Caenorhabditis elegans: one gene and its partner. The protein of the gene in region 1 interacts with the protein of each later gene in a pairwise test. Each region holds a gene or a part of one and is shown on either strand. Other genes may lie near its edges.

Region 1 (9,842 bases):
ATACATAATACATGAAAATGGCAAAAACCAATGGGAGGGAGGGGATATCATAATTGAGAAGGAAACCTGTGTGAGAATTTGGATTTTCGAAAAAAAAGATTTAAAACAATAATTGTGGGCTTTTCCATTGGCTACATGATTGAGCATCCTTCTTCATTGGCTTTCTCAAGAGCATCCTCAGCACAAACGACATCATCATATCTGAAAATTTCACTTTTTTAGTCTCGATTTTCAATTTCAAAAGTCTTTGGATATTACCTTTTCACCGATTTATGAGCTCTATCTGCGCTGCGACTCCGTTCTCGTCTTCCTCCATTCATTCCATTTAATTTTGGATTCGAAAACGAATTATTTAGCTTAGAACTTCCAGAATCCGCTCGTCTCCGGCCGCGTTTTGGATCGTCAGCACTCGTTTTCTGTGAAGCTTTCCGATTCTCATTATCAGGTGAGAATTTGAGATCAGCACATCCTGCTTGTTCGGCAACCACTGCCAAATGAGCATCGAATGCTTGTAAAAGTGCCACGTATCCACAGCATTTCTCGACCGCCCATCTCGAGAGCTCACTGCACGCGAATCGAACTCTGGCGAAGCTCTTCTCACCGGCTCTTCGAACCATCGAAACGTTGATCTCCTGTCGAAGCTTTCGTTCATCCCGACTTAACAGACAGAAAAGGAATATCCAGTCAATAGTAGCAGTCTGGGAGAATAGAGAAAGAAGAAGTTCCAGTTGATGACTACTTTGCAAATTTCCACGCGAAGATTTTTCTCCAACTAAGAAATCAGTATTCTGGTAGCAGTCTCCGGCAAGACTTCGAGAATCACAGGATGAAGGTGACGGTGGAGCCAATGGAGCATGATGATTCATTGAAGAAGATGTCGATGGGGATCTATCGATTACTGGTGCCAGTTCCACAGCACTTCCACGTACTCTTTCCAGCACGGCTTCTTGAATCTCAACGTCTTCTTCGCTAGCTTCAATATCCGTTTCACGAATTCTCGATCTAGCTCCATTTAAATCAACTACAGTCCTTTCCAATTTTCTGGCTTTAGGCTTCTTTATATTATCCAATGAGTCATTTAGTAGTCCATTCAAGCTTGCAGTACTCTGGCTGACACGAATATTTCCAAGCTTCTTCTCAATTTGATGCACGAATTGAGAACCGATGAGAGGATATGGCCACGAGAATTGAGCATGGAGTCTGAAAATTTTTGAAATTAGAGTTTTTTATATTAAAAATATTCCCAATTTTTATTGAAAATCGACAAAATCGAAGGAATATTCAAAATTTCCGATAGTTTTTCAATAATTTTTTCTCATCAAAATTTACATTTTTCTGGTTAATATTTAGCTTCTGGGTTTTTCTCATATATTTTTACAACGCTTAAAATTTTTTTTAATTTTTCGATTTTCAAAATTTCAGTTTTTTTTTTTTGAAAGATAAAATTTGCATTTTTTTCCAATAATTTTAGATTTTAAAAATTCCCCCAAAAAATGTTTCGTGTTTTTTCTTTAATTATTATTTTTTACAGAAAATGTAACAATTCAGAAATTTAAAAATAAACTTAAATTTTCGAGTTTTCCAATTTTTCCGAGAATTTAAAAATTAAAAAAAAAACGGGAAATTTAAAATCAAAAATTTTTTTTCCGTATAATGTATCATTTTTCTGAAAAACACGAAAAATCGGAATAATTAAAAATTTAAATTTTTTAGTATTAAATTTCAAGTTTTTTTTTCGATTTTCAGATTCTCGAAAAAACTGGAAAACTCGAAAATTTAAGTTTATTTTTAAATTTCTGAATTATTACATTTTCAGTGGAAGAATCCCAATTTACCTTGTAAGTGCCAAGGCAAAATCTTCAATCAAAAAGCAATTTTCGTTTGTAGTTTTCGGTGAAAGAGAAATTTGTTTCCGTCGCGTCTCCAAAAGACCGAGCAAATCGAATTGAAGTTCGGACCAGAAGAATCCTGAAAAAAATTGAATCCAAATTGTCCTGAATTTTTTTTTCCAATTACCAAGATCTAGAAGCCAATAATTATTCAGCAAATGCCACGCGTGATCTTCTAGAATTGATGTCATTTTTGCGGCGAGTCGATTCGTAGCCAATTGTGGAGAAAGTTCACCAGATAGGCCCTGAAATTAGATTTTATAAAAATAAAAATTTCCAGTAAAACACACAAACCCAAGACAACGCCATTTTATCCTTTGAACTTCCGCCAATCGAATCTTTTCTCGGTGCATCTTTTTGCTCAGTACTCTGTGAATGTCGAACTTTATTTAATCTTCCTCCAGCAGCTCCCGCTTGAAATCTATTAATCACGAATTCAGTGGAAGAATCAGCGGACGGTGAGGATACTGTAGGTCGGCGGGATAGAGAAGTCTTGGCACTTGGTGGAGGTGTTCTGAAACTTTTTAAAAATTAAAACAATTGCAAAGTTATTATCAAATTTTATTTTTGTTTGCTTAAAAACTACGGTAGCCGGTCTCGACACGGCCAATTTTTCAAATGCAAATGTGTGGATTACGGTATCTAATAATTCGTTGTTGCGAATTCAACTTAGTTTCGGTCATTATTCTATTTCTGAACACATTTAATTATTTTTCAAAGTGGGTGCCGATTCTGTGGATCGTAGCGTGAAACGGATACGATAACAACGGTGACCTTGATTCTGAATACCTCGCTTGATAAAAGGAGAGTTACGGATGTAGGGCACATGTATTCTGGGAATCTTTTTTCCGTGCGTTCTCTTTTTGGAGGCATTCTTTTTTAATTTCTCTATTAATGAATTCATTAATTCTTACAATGCATCAATATCCTCCGAACCAATAGATCTTGCAAATCTGACCATTTCCTTCGCAATCGTCCATTTTTTCTCTTCTAATGCTTCCTTCACAAGTCTCGCTGCTTGATCCATACTCACTTCGGTGGTTTCAAGATTTTGCAGGACAATCACGAAACTTGCAGCATTTTCGAGTTGTTTCAGTTGTAGACATTCTTCGAATAGTGCATTTGGAGATCCTGTGACATCAAATAACGTTCTCCAAAGTGCCAATTCAGTTTTTCGTGCACAATGTGCTACGGTTTTCAGAAATTCTGGAAATTCGTGAATAAAAGCTACACATCTTGGGAGAAGAGGATCTGGAATTGGTTCACTACTTGTAGCTTCTTCTTCAAGGACTCCATGGAGCAAAAGCTCAAGAGCATGCGTGAAATGTGGAAGAGAACGACAGGCTCCGGCGAGCTCCAAAGCAAAAACTCCAAGATTTCGCTTCAAAAGTTGTCGGAGCAGGTGATGCACAAATACTTCACTATTGCGATGAAGTCCATACATAGTGATACTTTCCATTTGTCCTTGATTTCTTGAAGCTCTTGCAACATGTTGTAGTTGACTCTCGACACCCATTGCAAGACAATCTTTGGCACTAATCACAATTGGATAGATATCAAGTTCAAATGGAAGCATTATTCGTTTCGCGATAAACGTCATTTCCTGTGTGGCTAAATTTCGTTTTCCTGGCACCAACGGCATCCAAACTTTGATTCCTTTTGCACCACAAGCAATCCATAAAGCATTACTCAAATGTGAAGAACATGATTGATTCATTGGAGATGATGGTTCTGAAGTTGTTGATGTGGAAACACTTTGGATTGAAACATTTGATCCATTTCGCCGATGGTTCTTCCATGGAAGATCTTGATTTTGAGACTGGGTTGATTGGGAGACTTGACAACGGTCATGCCACATTTTTTCCACGTATGACGCGATTACCATGGGTTGATGGAGCTGTAAATTTTATTTTAATATTGTATTTCCGAATTCCAAAAATTTCTAATTTAAAAACCAAACATTTCAGAAATCCCAAAACTTCCAAAATTCCAGAAAATTCAAATAGTCTAAATTTGAATCATTTCACAAATTCAAAACTTTAAAAAATCCGAAAATTAAAAAGAAACTGAATTTTGCAAAATTCCAAAATTGAAAAATTCTGAAAATTGAAAAAAATTAGTTTAACCGAGTTAACCGAGTATTTAGGAAAAAGGAAAAATTTTTCATGTTTTAAAAATACTGAAATTCAAAATGTTGAAAAATCTAGGAACGGAAAAATTTTGAAATTTCTAAAAATTGAAAATTATTAAATTTCGAAACAAAAAATTCAATTCCAAAATATTTTAATTTTTTTTAAATTCCAGAAAACCCAAAAATTCGAAAACTCTAGAAGTTCTGAAAATTCAAAAAATTCAGAATGTTTTAAAAATTTCTGAAATACCAAAAATTGGACAAGAATATAAAATTTAAAAATTCCAAAAATTCTAAATATTCATCAAATTTTGCAAAATTCTGGAAACTCAGAAACCATGCAATTTTAATTTTCCGTACAAACCTTTCCATCCTCATTAACACTCAAAGTGATCAATCTTCCCGAAATATTAACCAGCACAGTATCGATACTTGAATAAAATGCAGGTGACAACTTCCCCCGTACATCCAGATTCAGCTGTGTCATTTGAAGAGATACAATACATGTTGGATGTGGAACAATTTCGTTGATTCGAATAACAGTCACAATTTCAGTGGAGACTTTTGTAAAAGCATCTCGTCCAGTTTCCAAGTGAGCCGTGAGCTTATAAAGCGTAATTTGAGCCGATATATCGAATACTGCACAAACGTCGTCGCTGGAAAAATTGGGAAAATATTAATGTCACTGAATCTAGAATAATTCCAAAAAAACTGATAATGAGAGTTCATTTCCAAGATTGAATATTTCTTACCGTAACACGGACATGACCGATTTATGCTCCAAATCCACAACCGACGCATATCGACTGTCAAGTCTCTGAGAAATTGGATAAAATGAGAGATGGGACTTGTCAGTATCCGCAGCAACTCCAACAACTCCAATGACGTCATCATTCCAAATAAAGACACCTCCAGTGACCAAGAGATTCTTCTCTTGAGTCTCATTTCCAAAAATCTTCCAACGTCGATTGGATAATGAACAATATGCCATTCCTTGATCACCGGCCACGACGAGATGTTTATAGTTTCGATCAGTTGATGCATACTGAAAACATATTAAATTTTAACATTTTATTTTAATAAACTCTATCGGAAAATACCTACGTGCCTACATGCCTACCTCATGGTTTTACCAAATTTATGCTTTTAGTTTTTACTTTTAAAAAACTCACTCTCAGTGGCCAATTAGATGATAGATATTCATGTGTAACTGTAATATGATCCCATACAGAATGCGGTGCACAAGCTTCTGCTTCTCGATCCCTTGCAGCACTGATCAAAACCTGCGAGTCACTCATCAATACAGCTCTATCACAATGTTCCATTGCCGGGCTTGAACATGAAGCACTCCTCACGAATGGTTGCATCATAAGCTCATTTTCAGTTCCAAGCCACAGTTGGAAACCTTCTGGACCCCATTCAATAGCCGTGTATCTATCATTTTGATCTTCTTCGACGACACCTTCCAGATTGCAAAATGATTGAGCTCCGAATGAAGTGAAAACTGCGACGAGCCGAGGAAGAGCATGAGCTCCGGATAGTGGAGACCAAATTGCACCGAATCCGTATCCATTCGCGAGGGCTGTTATTCGGTGAACCGGACCCAGTCGATTCGTCAAGTCAGGACCATTTGTTACTTTTGGAGCAACTCGGAACGATTGAACGAGTGAGCCATTTAGTTCATCGATGTTATAGGCACAAACGTCGCCGCTGGAAATAGTTTAGATTAAAAAGAAAACTGTGCGTTTGATTTTTGAAAATTAAAATCTGAAAAATCTGAAAAAACTCACTTTTTACATCCAAAAAGAATCAGAAGGAACTTGTGATTCACATCGCAACACGTGGCATCTTTCATATTCGGAGCCCACACTCCCAGAATTGCCTGGAATAATAAAAAATGGGTTTTTTTTTTAATTTTTCATGATAAAAATCTCACATTAGGTGCAAAATTCGGATCATTCGACGTCAATAGAGCACCTTGACCATCGGAAAGTACAATCGCAAATCCTCCGAGAAGTGGAGCATACACGGCGTCAAAGATATACGTGGATTTTGAAGTAATATTTTCAGATTTCGACTGAAGTTGATCCACGGAGAACGGAATTGAACTGGCACGGAATGAGAGGCTTGCAATAATCTCTCCAGTCCAAGTGACATGATGAGTGAATCCATTTTGAAGGCAAACAAGAAATTCATCACGAGAAGGAACACAACATGTTGGTATATCAGCCAGATTTATGATTATTGTTGGATGAAGATGAGCTGTCGGTCGAGATCCTTTTATAAAAAGTTCCGGTGAGTTTCGTTGGAAATATGGATCCGCAGAGTCTGTGAAATTGTAGCATTGTTCATCGTCTCGCAAATCTAGATTATAGATTAAAATTTTGCATTGATTTGTCTGAAAAATATAATATTTTCAAAGAAAGAACTGTAAAATTTAAATATTACCGTTACAGCTATACTTGTTGAGTCAGGTTTCCAGTAAATTTCTTTTAATTCTCCACGTGTTTCTTTGAAATTGGCATCGATAACCCCGACGGAGCACAGGAGCAGTTGGGGCTGAATTTATGTTTTTTTAATCAGATTTTTATTAGTTTTCAGCACTAACATTTGCCAGCCAAATGTAAATCGCATCATTTGTTGCGACTGCTATCAATCTTCGATCTCGATTTGCCACAATTGACTTGATATCGGCGGCAGTCGAATCCTTTTCATGCTTCGGAAGCTGGAGAACCGATGGCCTGTCATTCTGGAATTTTCAAAAATTATTTTTTATTAAAAAAATTCTAAAGGAAACTTACAGGTATGAACATTCTATGCCAGATCCATCAAATGTTGTATTCTGTTGAAAAATATTAATTATTCGGGGGAAAACGGTTTTTTGCGATTAAAAGCTCAGTAATAAAGAAGCGCGTTCAATTTTTAGCAGATTCAATTCGACATCTTGATTTAAAAATTAGGAGATTGATTTTATTTTGTATTTGGAACGCAAAAACGTTTCAAACAGAATAAAAAGGCCTCCAGCTGTGAATATTTTTCAAGAGCAATCGCGCTCGGTTGCCACGCGTTAGAGGGCAGAGACGCAGACTTTTCAAAAATTTCAGGCGTTCAGGATTGCGTGGATGAAAATGATTTCACTCGAAAAATAACAAATTCATATTTAAATAATAAAATTAACACCAAAAAAAAAAGAATTAACAAAAAAAAACAACAAAACAATTGAATCAGAGTACTGTAGACAAAGTATTGTGCATTTTGTAGTTGCCGTGAACAAGGGTGTCAATTCCCGTGTCCCGTTTGTCCCGTTGTCCCGTTTTTGGGGTGTTTTCACGGGAACGGGAATTCTGTTGTCCCGTTTTTAAAATTTTCACGGGAACGAGAATTCCCGTTGTCCCGTTTTTGTAATTTTTACAGGACACTGACACCCTTGGCCGTGAACGTCCTTTGTCTGCAAATTTTATTGATTTTATTTATCAGTTTTCTGATTTCTCCTAGGAGGGGATTTCTCCTAGGACTCCTAGGGATTATAATTTGATTTTCACTGTTTTTTCTAATATTAAAATCTTAATTTCCAGGTTATCTATACAATTTGAGCTCTCTTTTAAAAAAATTGAAACTCCAAATTTTCCTGAATCTATTATTTATCCCATTTATAATTGCTCCACTATTGTCTTGCGTATAGTAGCGATTGTCCAGCTACACATTACAATGTGTATTCTTGTGTGTAGCCAGTTCATTCAAAACAACAAAAAGACGGCGGCCGTTCTTATCATTTACCCGGCCCCTCCGTGTACCTTGTTCTTTTCTTCACGTTGTCCATTTTCTTTCTTTTTTTCTCTTTTCCCCGAAAAAATTAATTATAACGTTTAAAAAATCAATTTTAATTCATTTCAGAATGCTTCGAAATCTCACCCTCGCCGCTAGAAGTGTTCTCTACAATCCGCAAGTGTAAGTCTGCAAAAATCATCTAATTTGTGAATAAATCTTCAATTTCAGTTCCGTTCGCTCGTTCTCTGCCCAGGCTGACTTCGAGAAGGCGCAGAAAAATCTGAAAACTCTGAAGGAAGAGCCGGACAATGACGTGAAACTGCAGCTCTACGGGCTTTTCAAACAAGCCACCGCTGGGGATGTGCAAGGAAAACGCCCGGGAATGATGGATTTCGTTGGAAGAGCCAAGTATGATGCCTGGAATACTTTGAAGGGACAAACTCAGGATGAAGCTCGCGCCAACTATGCTAAACTGGTCGGTGGACTCATTTCCGAAGAAGCTTCTGCTGCTCCAGAACCAACTGGGCCATCAATCGAAGGACTTGAGAACGTTGACGGTTTAAGTGTGACTCGCGAGGGAAAAGTGTTCAAAATCGCATTGAATAGACCAAAGAAGTTCAACGCATTGACATTGGAAATGTATCAAGGAATTCAAAAGGCACTGGAGGTCTCCAACAATGACAAGAGCACCTCAATCACTGTGATTACTGCCAATGGATCATATTACTGCGCTGGAAACGATTTGACTAATTTTAAAGCTGCTGCTGGAGGTACTAAAGAGCAAATTGCGGATATGGCTAATACAGCTAAAGTTATTATGAAGGATTATGTCAATGTTAGTTTAAAAATATATATTTCAATAATAAATTCAAATTTTCAGGCCTATATTAACCACGAGAAGCCTTTGATTGCTCTGATCAATGGCCCAGCCGTAGGAATTGCTGTGACCGTGCTCGGAATGTTCGACTACGTAATTGCAACCGATAAGGCCTCATTCCACACTCCATTTGCCCCACTTGGACAATCACCTGAAGGAGTTTCGAGCTACACGTTCCCACTGATCATGGGATCTTTGAGAGCTTCTGAGATGCTGTTGGTCTGTAAGAAAATCTCAGCCCAAACTGCAAAGGATTACGGGCTTGTGAATGAAGTTGTGCCAGACGCTGAATTCCAGTCACATGCTCAAAAAACTGTGGAAGCGTTCTCCCAACTTCCGCCAGAAACTCTTCGTATCAATAAGAAATTGCTCCGTTCTCTGCACAAGGAGAAGCTTCTGGAGGTCAACAATATCGAGGCCGACCAGATTTGCGAGCGTTGGCAATCCAAGGAGTGTCACCAAGCGATTGCAGCATTTATGACAAAAGGAGCAAAGAAGTAATTGTTTTGTGCCCTCTTAAGTTTTACCTTTTTTGTAGATTTTTTATGTATCTAAAAAGAATTATGTGTATTTGATTGAACATGTGCAAAAACAAAATTAAATGATTAATTTACAACAATAGAATTTTAGCAACATATAAATAAATGAATCCATAAATTTCGAGTAAAAATGAAGAATATCAACTGCTTTGCTCATCAAGAACTATAATCTTCTCACGAGTACATGAATCACAAGCTGGTAGCCGAATAACAATGTACGATGGCTCCTTCTGGTAGACCTTCTTATCACAAATCGGGCAACAAAAGTTCGGAGTATGTACTAGATGTGGTCCGTCGACGACAGGAGCCAACTGATACGACTTTTTCAGAACTGGAGGGCACAGATCATCGTTGGCTGATCGCTTTTGAGCAGCATTTCGAACTGAAGCCATATCCGTCCTCCGGAGCAAGACGGGCGGAGCAACTTGTTGATACTCGTGATCACTTCGGTCTCGCTGGGGTACGAGCATCTGGTCGATGGTGGCGTACGCGAATTCTCCATTCATTAATTGGATCTGAAATTTCAAAGCTTTAAAAAATATACTTTATAGAAGTTTTATGAGCATTTTTCTTCGTTTTTTCTAGAAAAGCTCTGTTTTGATCCAAAAGTTGAAAATAATTACATTTTATCGGATCAA
Region 2 (5,731 bases), on another chromosome or scaffold:
AATTTTTCGCGCTCCATTGACAATCGCCCGCCGGAAAACGTGTGGGAAAGTCGTATACTCCACACGGACAAACACATTTAGTTTTACAACTAAAATCAAGCCGCGACGCGACACGAAACGCGCCGTAAATCTACCCCAGATATGGCCGAGCCAAAATGGCCTAGTTCGGCAAAAACTCTTCCATTTCAATTTATGAGGGAAGCCAGTGGCCGCAAAAAGTTTTTAGGCCACGAAAGAATCTTTTTGGTCGAAATTTATGTCAATTTATGCTTTAAAAAAATTCAAAAATGTCAAAAAAAAAATTTTTTTTGGACTTAAAATTTGTCTCAAAATTCAATCAAAGCTTTTTTCGCTAAAATATTTTTTCACCGAGAAAAAAATTCTGGGCCAAAAAAAAGCTTTTTATTTCAAATTCCAGACTCATTCGAAGGCGACTGCTTCACTCTCCGTACCAATATGGCGACTAATCTCTATTTTCCATGGCTTCTCGCAAGTATTGCCGAAAAGTTCTCCCTACACTTCACCCATTTTGGAAATACTTCTATGAGCCAAGAGTCTTCAGCTCTTGCCGTTAAAGGATACACTGGGAAAATGTTGGAATATTTCGAAAAAACGCTCATAATTGGACAGAAAATCGATAAAAACGTGCTGGAATCGATTAAGGCATGCAAGACTGGAGGACTTAATAATAATATTTAATTATTGAATTTTTGCAAATTATTTTTGAACTTAAAGCATTCCTTTTTCTGCGATTTTTTCAATCAATAAATTTTGAAATTAGTGTTGTACTGGCAAATTGGCAAAATGCCGGAATTGAAAATTTCAGGCAAATCGGCAAACCGGCAATTTGCCGAAATTGGAAATTTCTGGCAAATCGGCAACCCCGCAATTTGCCAGAATTGAAAATTTCCGGAAAATCGGCAAATCGGCAAACCAGCAATTTGCCGGAATTTAAAATTTTCAGCAAATCGGCAAACCGGCAATTTGCCGGAATTGAAAATTTCCGGAAAATCGACAAACCGGCAGATTGCCGGAATTTAAAATTTCCGGCAAATCGGCAAACCGGTGAATAGCCGCAATTTGAAATTTCCGGCAAATCGGCAAAACTGGCAAATTGCCGTAATTTAAAATTTCTGGCAAATTACCAGAATTGAAAATTTACGGCAAATTAACGGAATTGAAAATTTCTGCCAAATCGGCAAACCGGCAATTTACCGGAAATGAAAATTTCCGGCAAATCGACAACCCGGCAAATTGCCGAAAATGACAATTTCCGGCAAATCGGCAAACTGGCAATTTGCCGACTTTCCGAATTTGTGGACAAAAAAAATTGCCGAACGGGAATTGCCGGCCCCTGGTGTACTCTACGTTCAAAACAAATTTGTAATTTTTGTTAACATAAAATTTGAAATAAAAATCTTTATGCTTCGTTTTTATGGCGGCCGAGATTTTTATTCTATACGGGTTTTGTTGCAAAATATTGATTTTTATGACTTCGATTTTCATTTAATATTGATTTTTGTCGAAATATCGATTTCCCAAAATATCGATTTTTTAAAAAGCAACTTTTGTAATATATCGATTTTCGGCGCTTTTTAATTGAACATACGGTATTACTAGGGCTTCCATTCCTGCGCCGGCGAGGCGCCTTCGCCGACCAGCGAGACGCCTCAGTCATGTATAGTGCGGCGCGGAACCCCGAACGTGTCGGACGCTTCCAAATAACAGCGGCGATGGCCGGCCGGCGCGAGACGCACCGCCGCTCACCCATGGAAGCCCAAAGTCTTACAAAATATCTACACTGCTTTATTCACAAATTCATAGAAAACCGCGTTCAATTTCTCATCGGTTGCTGTCGTTTGCTGTTGCGCTCTATTGAACACTTCCATATCTCTCAACAATTCCATTTTGGCACGCTCCTCGTCGGCTTTTGTGAAATGGCGCTTCCGACGGAACAAGAGAATGTGCTTCTCCGGGTTATGAACCATGTAGTGCTCCCATCCAAGTGACTGAAAAGTATGAAAAATCAATAATTCGGCCACATTCAGAAATTTAATATTGATTTTTTTTCGTCGATTTTATGACTATCGGTTTTCTTGAAATATCGATTCTATCAACATATTAATGTTTATTTAAAACAAATTTTCATTAAAGGCAAATTGCCGGAATTGAAAATTTCGGGCAAATCGGTAAGCCGGCCAATTGCCGGAATTGAAAATTTCTGGCAAATCGGCAAACCGACACATAGCCGGAATTGAAAATTTCTGGCAAATCAAAAAACCGGCAAATTGCCGAAGTTTAAAATTTCTGGAAATCGGCAAATCGGCAAACTGCCGGAATTGAAAATTTCTGGCAAATTGCCGGAATTGAAAATTTCTGGCAAGTCGGCTAACCGGCAAATTGCCGGAATTGAAAGTTCCTGGCAAATCGGCAAATCGGCACATAGCCGGAATTGAAAATGTCTGGCAAATCGGCAAACCGGCACATAGCCGGAATTGAAAATGTCTGGCAAATCGGCAAACCGGCACATAGCCGGAATTGAAAATGTCTGGCAAATCGGCAAACCGGCACATAGCCGGAATTGAAAATTTCTGGAAAATCGGCAAACCGGCAATTTGCCGAACATGAGAATTTCCGGCAAATCAGCAAACCGGCAATTAAATTATCGGGCCGGCGTAAGGCCCACATTTCGCACCTCACTCGGCTGGGAGCCTTGCTTAATTTAATAAAAAATATTTTAAAATATTGGCTTTTTCAAAATATCAATTTTGTGAATTATCGATTTTTGGAAAAATCTATTTTTTTTAATTATCGATTTTTTTCCTAAAATCTTAACATATCACTTAATTGAAAATATACCTGTTGAACTCCAGCACGTCTCCATTCAGCCTCACTAAGAAGTCTTCCCTTTGGCACTTTTCTCGAGACGGCTTGCGGAAGAATGACGTGGCGATATTCGTATTCATCATCTTCGTAACGTGGCGAATAGTAGATATCTTCCATTTTTCAAAAACTCTTATTCTTCGATGTTAATTGTACGACAAGTAGGGAATGAATGATTGTTGAGGAGTTTTGGAAATGTTGTTGGAACAATTAGGAAGAGGGGGGGGGGCAAGGTTACGTGGACAATTCTTTTTTTTTAAATTCTGAAATGTTGTATTTATTTTACAAATCACGTGGAGTATTCCGAATATCGATGTAAAAAAAATTCAACAAAAAAATCCCTGATTTTATATTTGAGCTTGAAATCGCCGAATTTCATTTGTGCCCCCGCATAATTTTTTCAAATTCGCATTGGAGCGCGCTTGCATCGTTTTATTTACTTCATTTATTTTTCAGTTTTATGAAAGAAAAAAGAATCGCTTCATATGGTTTTTCAGTACTTTTGAATTTTTGAAAAAATAGATTTTAACTAAATTTTGCAATTTTTCAAAATAATCTTCCGGTCAAGCTAGCATACTCTTTTTGATACTTTCTGGTATTTCTGATCATGCTGAACAGTAATATAAAAGAAAAAAGAAGCACTTCATATGATTTTGGCGTACTTTTGAATTTTTGAAAAATACAGCTTTTGGTCAAATTGTGCAATTTTTTAAAATATGTTCCGGATTGACTAGCATACTTTTTTTTAGTATTTTCTGGTATTTCTGATCATGCTGAACAGTATTATAAAAGAAAAAAGAAGCACTTCATATGATTTTTCAGTACTTTTGAATTTTTGAAAAATACAACTTTTGCTTTTTTTTAACAATTGAAATCGATTGGCATTATCAAATTTTTATGAAAAATGTCAAAACTCGAAACTTTGGGGGATTCTATAGAAAATACACATTACCGAATCTAAAAGCTCCCCACACTTTCATCTTTCTTCTACGAATTTTGCAGATTTCTTGATTTTTTTCCCATCTTTCCAAATTTGATTTTCGATTCCCTGTGCTGACGTGTCGTCCCCCGCAACAATTCCCAATTCCCGTCCCTCCAATAATTCGATTATTCATAACGATCATACCGCCCATCTTGTCGCTTAAAAGGAGCCCACCATCCCGTCTTTTCCGCAGATAGTCGCCTCACAATATGTGGCTGACAAATTATTTTCTTCTCGTTTTTCTTCTCTTCAGAACTATTCATGGACTCGCCGATGGATCCGAGACCACTGTCAAGGAGTTTTTGAGCAAAGTGTCAGATGAAATTGCTACTAGAGATGCTTCCCGGATTGCTACACTATTTTCCGATGGGTTCTCGTTTCAAGGATGCAAGGGAAAATATGACAAGGGTGAGTGTTTTAGGCAATTTCCTTAAGATGTTGAAAAATTGACGGGATTCTTGAATGATCTGTAAGCTCTCGCAAAGTTATAATTAAGTAGTTTCGGTGCTATTTTGAAACAATTTAACATCTCTGTTAGGGCTCCCATGAGGTCGCCGCAACGAGTCCCGCGCCGACCTCAGCGGTAGCCGCGCCGGCCTCACGGTGTCGGCGTCACTCACGCCGCATGTATCCGAATGTATAGTGCGGCACGGAACCCCGAACTTGTCGGCCGCCAACCACAGTTTCGAACTACGTTGTGCACTGCACACACCAAGCTACTCGTTTCACGCCAAGCTGCGGAACCCCGAACTTGTCGGCCGCTCCAAATAACTACCCTTCGCACTTCGTTGCATACACACATCGGTGCGCGGAGGTCGGCGTGAGGCCCGCATTTCGCGCCTCACTCTGCTGGGAGCCCTAACACGACCCGAGAAGGGGGGCCTGTACGTAATTTGTCTACCGTATACCTGGAAGTTTGGGCGGGTTTTTTTTCCTCAAAAACGGCTGGTCGAACATTTTTTGGTGCATGTAAAAAAATGTCCGATAATAAATTCTACATTTTTTGGACCAAAACTTTTTTTTAAAACTCGCCCAAACCTGGTTAAACTCAAATTATCAGTAGAGCGCATATGTATGGATGTACCACTAGCCTAATCTCTATTGTGAATCCCTCCGTAATGGGGTTATTCAAGTAGTGTCAGAAAATTAAAAAGTGTAGAAAAATTACGTCACAGCTGTATTAAAATACATAAAAACATGTATTTTAATACATTTGTGACGTCACAAATGTATTTAAATACATTTTGCTACATTACTTGAATAACCCCATAATTGTTAACCGCCTTGCAAAAACCTCTGAGATTTTAAATTTCGCACCATGCCACTCAAATTCCCGACACACTACATAACTCAAATATTTCAGAAACCGCCACCAAAATTCTAAGCAAACTCCCTGCTGGCACCCCATTCTCCTTCACTCTTAAATCAGCAAAGCCCCTCTCCGACGACAGAATCAGTTATATTGTATCTATCAATGGATTCGGTGCTGCATCAATCGACGCGCTGTTCATTCTCTGCGCAAAGACGTTAACATTGGCTAGTGGAAGCATTGTATCCTGCCCTCCGAGGCATTTCAGTGATCATGCTAATCCCGAAGAAATCGTCAAAACTTTCTTGGGAACTGTGACAAAGGCCCTTGAGTCGAAAGATGCTTCCCGTATTGCTACTCTATTCTCCGATGACTTCTCATTCAAAGGATGCAAGGGCACTTATGATAAGCGTAAGATTTAAGATTTTTTATTATACAATTTAATTTACTATTAGTATTACTATATTGATTTCAGAATCTGTCATCAAGATGCTAAGCAACATCCCAGCAGGAACACCTTTCTCCTTTACCATCAAATCAGCCAAATTCATTGCTAC

The links. Proteins that work in one complex are often made in the same cells at the same time.
Region 2: the proteins of R06F6.8 (region 1) and Y71G12B.27 interact in a two-hybrid assay, tested with the Caenorhabditis elegans proteins (one large-scale study listed by BioGRID).

Annotation. Positions count from the first base shown.
Region 1 is NC_003280.10:10,813,117-10,822,958, forward strand, and holds the start of R06F6.8 (Guanine nucleotide exchange factor subunit R06F6.8), read right to left. Parts: upstream 6,863-9,842; 5' UTR 6,834-6,862; coding exon 6,822-6,833; intron 6,770-6,821; coding exon 6,629-6,769; intron 6,580-6,628; coding exon 6,469-6,579; intron 6,419-6,468; coding exon 5,957-6,418; intron 5,903-5,956; coding exon 5,811-5,902; intron 5,731-5,810; coding exon 5,193-5,730; intron 5,066-5,192; coding exon 4,773-5,065; intron 4,677-4,772; coding exon 4,385-4,676; intron 3,787-4,384; coding exon 2,804-3,786; intron 2,410-2,803; coding exon 2,184-2,409; intron 2,135-2,183; coding exon 2,017-2,134; intron 1,969-2,016; coding exon 1,836-1,968; intron 1,201-1,835; coding exon 259-1,200; intron 202-258; coding exon 132-201; 3' UTR 1-131. Other genes in the region: ech-4 (Delta(3),Delta(2)-enoyl-CoA isomerase), read left to right, coding at 7,916-7,968, 8,017-8,623, 8,669-9,166; R06F6.12 (uncharacterized protein), read right to left, coding at 9,345-9,719. UniProt on the Caenorhabditis elegans protein: Probable component of a guanine nucleotide exchange factor (GEF) that may be required for efficient fusion of endosome-derived vesicles with the Golgi.
Region 2 is NC_003279.8:1,795,643-1,801,373, forward strand, and holds Y71G12B.27 (Cyclin-dependent kinases regulatory subunit), read right to left. Parts: upstream 3,081-5,731; 5' UTR 3,004-3,080; coding exon 2,860-3,003; intron 2,010-2,859; coding exon 1,797-2,009; 3' UTR 1,793-1,796; downstream 1-1,792. Other genes in the region: rml-5 (NAD(P)-binding domain-containing protein), read left to right, coding at 419-699; Y71G12B.5 (Apolipophorin), read left to right, coding at 4,075-4,273, 5,229-5,585, 5,650-5,731.